Notamacropus eugenii: one gene and its partner. The protein of the gene in region 2 interacts with the protein of the main gene of each other region in a pairwise test. Links are inferred from orthologs where the notes say so. Each region holds a gene or a part of one and is shown on either strand. Other genes may lie near its edges.

Region 1 (3,820 bases), on a different chromosome or scaffold from region 2:
AAAATTAGAAGGCTGGAGAAGATATTATCTAAGAGTCCTTTCAGTTCTGACAATCTCTGGTTCAAGGCTACCATTGGGGATGTCTGAGAAGGAAGACCATGGACTTTCTAATTTTAGTATGTTACTAGAACAAACATCTGAGGGTTTTTCTAAAGAAAAGGGAAAAAAGCTCTGAGGAACCTCCTCCAAAGGATCATAGGTGAGCGTGGGCTACTGCTCCACACGAAAATGGGCCAAAGTCTACTTCCCCAGTTGGTTTTCTGTAAGAGTACTATGATGGCCAAATGTGCATGTTTGCTGCTATGTAACTCAAGGGAGACCCAGCACAGGAAGAACAGGGAAAGAAGGGAAGATGGAACTTATAGAAGTCCAAATAGGAAGAAGTAAAGAAGCCCTACCTTTTTTTTTAATCAAAAAACTGCTGGATTATGCAAGTTCCCAAATCCTACCTTCCTCCCCCAACCCAAAGTGGAAGGAGGAAGAGACTGGGGTGGGTAAGAGAGGGAAGTTAAACTGTTGAGGAGAGATGAGAGAAAAGACAGGGAAAGAGAAGAGATAAAAGTGGTAAGAAGAAAAATGAAGTAATAGTGGGAAGACAGAGGAAAGAGACAAATTGGAGAGGAAAATAAGGGGAATAGAAAATGAAGAAAGAAATGAAGATGGAATGAAGGCAGGACAGGGAGGGAAGACGAAGGGATGAAAAAGAAAATGAAGGTATGAAAATGAGGGATAAGAGAATAGGGGAAAGAGGAGGTGTAGGACAAACAGGTGAAGAAGAGAAAGAAAGATGATAGGATCTAAAGGATATCAGAGGCAATCTAACCTAACCCATAATTTTACAGAGAAGGAAACTAGGGCTCAGGTGGCTAAGGGACTTGCCCAGGTCCTATAAGTAGTTGACGATAGGATGAGGAAAATGGGGCAGGAGAAAAAGTGAAGCAAAGTGATGCTGAGATTACGAGTAGAGGTAAGAATTAGACATGGAAGGAGAAAAGGAGAGATGAGGCTGTGAGATGAAATGGTGAAGACAAGATGAGGAAGGGAAAAGGGAGAATGAGACATCACATGAGAAGCGGGGGCTGGGGAGATGAGGATGAGTAAAATGGGGAGGTATGACAGAGGGAGAGGAAAAATAAAGGAGATGAGAAAGCCGGATAAGGGGAGGATGAAGGAGAAGAGGAGGAGCATGAAAAGAAGGATGGGTGGAGATGAAGAAGAGGAAAAAAGAGGGGGATCAGTCAGTCAAGAACCATTTACCAATGGTAAATATGTGCCAGGAACTGTACTAAGGTCTGGGGAGACAAAAAAGGCAGAAGACAGTCCATGCCCTCAAGGAGCTCACAGGGCAGTGGGGGAGATGATGAATAAACAAATACGCACATACATACAAGATAAGTAGGAAATCATTAACAGAAAGAAGGCACTAAAATGAAGATGAGTGGGGAAAGGGACTTGCGTGAAGTCAGTAGACACAGATGAAGAGGGAAGGCTTTCTAGGCATGAGGGACGTGGGAGAAAATGCTGGGACCTAAAGGATGCGGGGTCAGTGTCGCCGGAAGAAGACTACATGGCAGGGATAGGCTTTGAATGCCAGGAAAAGACTGGGACGGTGATAGAAAGTCACTGGAGTTAACTGAGCGCGGGGATGAGGAGGAGAAGGGGGGAGTGAGGAGAGAGATGAAGGAAGCATTAAGGAGGGGAATGAAAAGAAGAGCGGAAGACGGAGAGGAGAAGAGGAAGGCAGGCCAGGGAGTCTCGCCGCGCCCCGGCCCACGTGAGATCTCCACCCCCCCACCCCCTGTGCTCGGGCTCACAGAGGACCAGCCCCCTCCCTGTCCCTCCCCGTGCCAGGGCCGGGGACTGAGTCTCAGAGTGGGTCCCCGCCGCCCCGTGCCGTCTCCCTCAATCTCCCCTCACCATAGTGCCGGCCGCGCCGGGGCGGGGACAGGGCCGGGGCTGTTCCGGTCACTTCCGCCGCCGCCGCAGTAGCTCGGAAGACTCAGAATTCCCTCCAGGCCGCCCCTCACCGAACAGGGCGGGCTGACGTCTCCGCCAGCCAGTCACTACCCGATCCTTTGACAGATTGCCCAATCCCGAACGGCGGAAGGGGCGGGGAAAAGAGGCCGAGAGCTCCGACAGGTGGAGAGTGACCCCGCGCCTCGGGCGCGCAACTGCCGTAAAGCAGTAATCTGTAGGGTGCTGAAAAGACGCGGGCGCCCCGCGGAATTGTGGGTAACGGTCGTTGGCTGCGTGCGCTTCGGCTTCTCGAGAGGAAACGGGAGGCCAGGCGGGTCGGCCAGGCGGATCTGTGAGACGCCCTTAGTGTCTGAGGGCAGAGAGTGAAGAAAACAGCCCCTCCACCCGTCTTCTGAGAGGGCAGCTCGGCCTGCTCGCTGACCTCAGCACCCCCTCTTACATAAGCCTGGCGGCCAGCCGTGACCCTCCACCCTCGAGTCCCTTACCCAGTCTGGGGAATGGAATCCTTGGGCTTCCCACGCCGACGCCCAGGGTTGTAGTGAGGGAAATGTTTGGTAGAAGCCTCAGAGGCGCCATGGAAACCCTAGGCCAGGTGAGGGAGGTGTGGGCTGTGCCAAGCACGGCGGGCGACGATCCTGCTGCCAGGCCACACCTGGAGCGCTGGGTTTAGTGGGGGGTAGGGGCATGGACCTGCCGGACGGTGACGGGGAAGGCGAGAGCCCTGGAGACCCCAGGAGGAGCTGAAAGAGCTGGGGATGGTCTTAGCCCGGTGAATAGACTTGCCCTGCCCGTCCCCGTGCCACCCCGCCCTGGGGGCAAAGGGTCTGCTTGGAGCTCAGCACGAAGAGCTCCCAATAATCCGCAGCCCTTAGAGCCTGGAAGGTTAGGGAGGGAGATGCTCGGCGGGGAATATCCTGCTTCAGGTTGGCGTTGAACCCGATACAGAGATGTTGTCCCAGCATCTTTTCAGGTCCGAGACTCTAAGGTTGCTGGAGTTTAATTTGAGTGAGGCTCAAACCAGAGCATTTTGTGAAGTGCTTTGCAAACCCTAAAACACTAGTAATGGTTGGGGTTTCTTTTTGAACTGGCATCCCACCTTTTTCTGTAGAGAAGTACTGTCCTGGACTCTGGAAGTTGGAAGAGATCTTATAGATCCCTTTTCAGACGAGGAAACTGAGGTCCAGAGAGGCTAAGTGACTAATTAGGACATGGCCCCTTGTTCTAACACAAATATTTGGAAGAGGAAAAAACACTAAATTTAGAATCAGCACCTAAGGTTGGATCTCTGCTCTGCCCTCTGATAGCTGTCGGGCAAGTCAGAGTTTTTGTGTGGCTCATTTTCTTTATCTGTCAAATGAGCAAGTGTGACTAGGTAATTTTCTTTCGGATGCTCAATTCGTTGTCCAAATAACTGTAACTATATGATAAATGTAACTGTGTAACAAGTGCATGAGAAAAGTGCATAATGCTGTATGAGGAAATTAACCACCAAAGAGATTGTGGATGACTTGGAGGATGCAACATTTGGATTGAGCTTTAAAGAGGGGCTCGAATTATGAGGAGCAATGGGGAGGAGGGTATTTCAGACAGAGGGAACAGAATAACATGAGCACACAGGTGGAAAAATCCTGAGCAAATAATGTGGACTTGAGAGAGGAGTAGATCAGGAGTACTTAAGTTTGACAGAAACACAGGATACAGTTGAGCTAAGGCTAAAAAAGGCAGGGTGCCACCAAATTGTGAAGGGTCTCAAAACAGTTTAAACTTTGATTGTATTATAAACTTAAGAAAGTCCTGAGTCCACTTACAGATAGTGTTCATCAGGAAAATGTATCATTAGAAC
Region 2 (3,600 bases):
GCATATGAGAAAAGGTCAGTAGGTCAGTCTGGCTAGAACACGCTGCACATGATGGAGGTAACATTTATTAAGTCTGGAAAGAAAAGATGGAGCCAAATTGTGAAGAACTGAAAAGGCAGTCAGAAGCAATACTGAGCCACTGAAACTTCTTGAGCAGTGGACTAACAGAGTAAGATCTGTATTTTAGGAATATCAGTCTGGCAGCTATGTGGAGGATGGAGAGATCAGAGATAAAAGACTAATTAGATGGCTATAGTCTAGATGAAAGGTGATGTGAGCCTGAATCAGGGTGGTAATTGTGAGAGATGAGACAGAAGTAGAATTGATAAAGACTTGAAAATGAGGGAAAGTTAGGAGTTGAGGATGATTCAGTGGTTGAAAATTTAGGTCATGGGAAGGATAGTGGTGTCCTTGATAGAAATGGGAAGACAAGATAATGAGTTCAATTTTGGACATATTGAATTTGAGATGCCTAAGGGATATCCAGTTGGAAATGTCTAAGAGACAGCTGGTGATGCAGGATCGGAGCTCAAAAGAAAAACTAGGGATGTATATATAGATCTGTGAGACATCTGCATAGAGAACTGAATCCACTGAAAAGCTGATGAGAATACTAAAAGTCTATCTAGAGGGTCCAGGATATATTCTATCAGAGGGCAGGATATGGATGGTGATACAGCAAAACAGACAAAGTTGACAGGCAGGTAGGAGAACAAATAGAGAGCAGTGTCATGAAAACCAAAAGGAGGGAATGGTATGTCAAAAAGGATCAGGACTAGATTTGGCAATTAAGAGATCACTGGTATCTTTGTAGAGGACAGAATCGAAGGAGTAATGAGGTAGGAAGCTAAACTGCAAAGGGGTTAAAAAGTGAGGAAAAAAGGAGGCAAATAGCACAGACGGTTTTTTCCAGGAATTTGTCAGTGAAAGAGAAAATATGTATGTATAAAATAATAGTGTGAAGGGATTCTACCTCTATTTCTCTCATTTTACACAGCCACTACTTTGTGCAGACAGACTATCTGGATAGCCTAATTGGCCCAATTTGTTCTTTTTCCAATTATCCTCCAATATAGCTGCCAAATTGATATGCCAGAAGCATAGCTCTGAACATATTACACTCCACCCCTCAACAAAACATTTGAATGCCTCCCTAATGGCCTTTAGCATAAAATACAGACTCCTCAACTTGACATTTAAGGACCCCCATGATCTGGTTTTTAAGACATTTCCCGATACACTATTTTTTTTTCACGGACTCTATTCCATTCAAACTGGTCCTAAAGCTGTTTCTCTTACACAACATACTCCCTCCTGCCACTGTGCCTTTATATAAGAGATCACATAGTTCAAGTACCACCTCCTATTCCAGACCTTTCCTCCTCCTTCTCCCTCTTGAAATTGCTTTGCTGTCTCTAGGGTCTATTTGGGCTAAGATAAAATCTGGCACGTATACTTTATACTTAGGTGTATACACATCTCCTTGGTAGAATATGAACTCCAAAAGGGGTGTGTGTGTTTTTTTTATTTTGGTCTTCGTGTCCTCGGACCCTTGAACAGTGGCACTTAAATGTCTGCTGAATTGGGGTGGAGGGGTCGGGCAGGAAGATAACAAGTCTCTGCCACAGCTTCGAGAACGGTGGGCCTCACTTTCCTTGAACACTATCGGACGCCCTGTTTCAGGCACTTACTGCGTCCCCTCACTGTTGCACCCAATTTCTTGAGCTCTGGGACCACTCGCCTCCCCGCTGCCGGGCACGCACCTCGCTATTTCTTTTTATCAGCGAGGCCAACCTTTCCCCCGGACAGATCGTAATCCCATCCTCCAGGGGTTTAGTAAAGGGTCTTCCAGAGTTGCCATGGCCTAAAGACTTCCCCACCTGGGCCAAGCTTCTGGGGACAAAAGCCTCGCAAATCGCAGGCACTTAATGAATTTGTGGGGAGTACTCAGGTCGAAAAGCGGTGTCGGAGTCTCTGAATGACCTCCATTGCCTTCTTCAGACAAAAGGGCAAAAAAGAAACCCCGCGTGACTCCGGAACGCCTAACTCCCCCCCAGGCGATCTGCGGTCAGAGGGAGGCCTCGGCCGCTCGCGGACCGCAGCCCGAGGGCCGGGGCTACGGCCTGGAGACGCGTCCCGGCCTCGGCCCATGCCCTACCCGAGCCCGAGGGAGGAGGCGGACCGACGAGGGAAGGGGGACTGGCCCGGCGGCCACTCACTGTCAATGTCCTCGATGAGGCTGGCGGTACCGGGCATATAGTTCATCTTGAACCGGGAGGGGGAGGCTGGGCTGGGGCACGGTGGGGAGAGGAGGAGCGGAGCGGACCCGCCGCGTCCTACTTCTCCCTCCGCTTCAGCCTCCTCAGCGGGGCCGGTACCCGCAGGTCCACAGCCGCCAGCAGTCACTGAGGAGCTACCGGAAGTTCCCCCTACCCCGCCCACTTCCGGCATCACGTGGCTCCCATGCTCGGGGGCGGGTCGTACGGCGCAGGCCCCCGAGAAAGGAGAAGGGGGAGAGATGTGAGCGGGACCGCATTAGATAGTGGGGAACTCGTTTTTCCTCTTTAGGCTGAGGAAGAACGTGCGCCTTGCCCTTCTCAGTTCTCTAACTTCAATTCCTAAGGTTGGCCCGAACTAGCATAGACCCCCCCCCCCCCCTTCAGCCTCATTGGTCAGCGTGTGGACCATGAACGCTACTCCCGCGGAGGAGGAGCCAGGGCGGCGATTGGTTGCTTTGGCTCCGCCCCCTTTTCCCAGGCTTGTTCTTTGCCTTCAGCGGGCGCCTGCGCAGTGGGCTTGGGGTGGGGGGAGCGGGAAGTGCGGCGGCTTAGCGGAGCCAATGTCTACCCTGAGGAGATCAGGATATGGCCCCAGCGACGGCCCGGGCTACAGCCGCTACTACGGGGCTGGGCCCGGACCCGGACCCAGCATTGGAGACGTGCCCCCGCCTGGGCCTCCAGCCTCATCGCGGCCCGAGCCGCCTCCCCCTCCGCCTCCTGGCCCCTGGAGGATGCGCGGAGGCGGCCCGGCGGAGGCTGTGTGGCCCGGGGAAGGCAGCGGAGCCTGCGGAGCCTGCGGAGGTGGCGGGGGCTACTACCCCGGGGGAGCCGCCTGGCCAGACCCGTGCCGGGCCGGAGGCCACCAGGTAATCCCCGATCCGGCCAGCCCCTGGGGTCACTGGAGTCGTCCGTGCGCGGGGGGAGGGGGTTGATGTGGAGGGGGTCGCCGGGGGTGGTTGGTCCCTAGGGAGATGAGGCCCCGGGGGTCGCGTTGCAGAGGCCCGGGACGCCGGGGTGAGACCCTGTTGGAGGGCTTCTAACGGATCCCAGCTTCGTTAGTCTCCTATTTCTGGAGCATGGGAGGAGGGACAAGGTTTGTGGCCTGGGTGATGGTGTCTCACCGAGCAGCGATTGGGGGTAAAGCAAGCTGAAAAAGAAATCGTAAATCGTTTATTGCAGCCTTCCGCTCTGCACAAATGCCCAGGTTAACTGAGCTCGCCCAGGGGAGGCCTCCAAAGCCATTGGGAAGGGGGTCTGGAATGGACCCTAGGTTGCTCCCCCCCCCAGGCACAGGCCCTTTCCACCCTCTCCCCTCACCGCT

Evidence for each region.
Region 1: the proteins of LSM1 (region 2) and LSM4 interact in binary tests that used the Homo sapiens proteins (3 or more experiments, as listed by UniProt). The link is inferred for Notamacropus eugenii from reciprocal best matches to the Homo sapiens genes LSM1 and LSM4.

The regions. Positions count from the first base shown.
Region 1 is NC_092875.1:67,413,578-67,417,397, reverse strand, and holds the start of LSM4 (U6 snRNA-associated Sm-like protein LSm4), read right to left. Parts: upstream 2,531-3,820; 5' UTR 1,921-2,530; coding exon 1,918-1,920; intron 1,773-1,917; exon of another isoform or gene 399-1,772; intron 1-398. UniProt on the Homo sapiens protein: Plays a role in pre-mRNA splicing as component of the U4/U6-U5 tri-snRNP complex that is involved in spliceosome assembly, and as component of the precatalytic spliceosome (spliceosome B complex).
Region 2 is NC_092872.1:622,810,563-622,814,162, reverse strand, and holds the start of LSM1 (U6 snRNA-associated Sm-like protein LSm1), read right to left. Parts: upstream 2,702-3,600; 5' UTR 2,452-2,701; coding exon 2,220-2,451; intron 1-2,219. Other genes in the region: BAG4 (BAG family molecular chaperone regulator 4), read left to right, coding at 2,840-3,145. UniProt on the Homo sapiens protein: Plays a role in the degradation of histone mRNAs, the only eukaryotic mRNAs that are not polyadenylated. Probably also part of an LSm subunits-containing complex involved in the general process of mRNA degradation.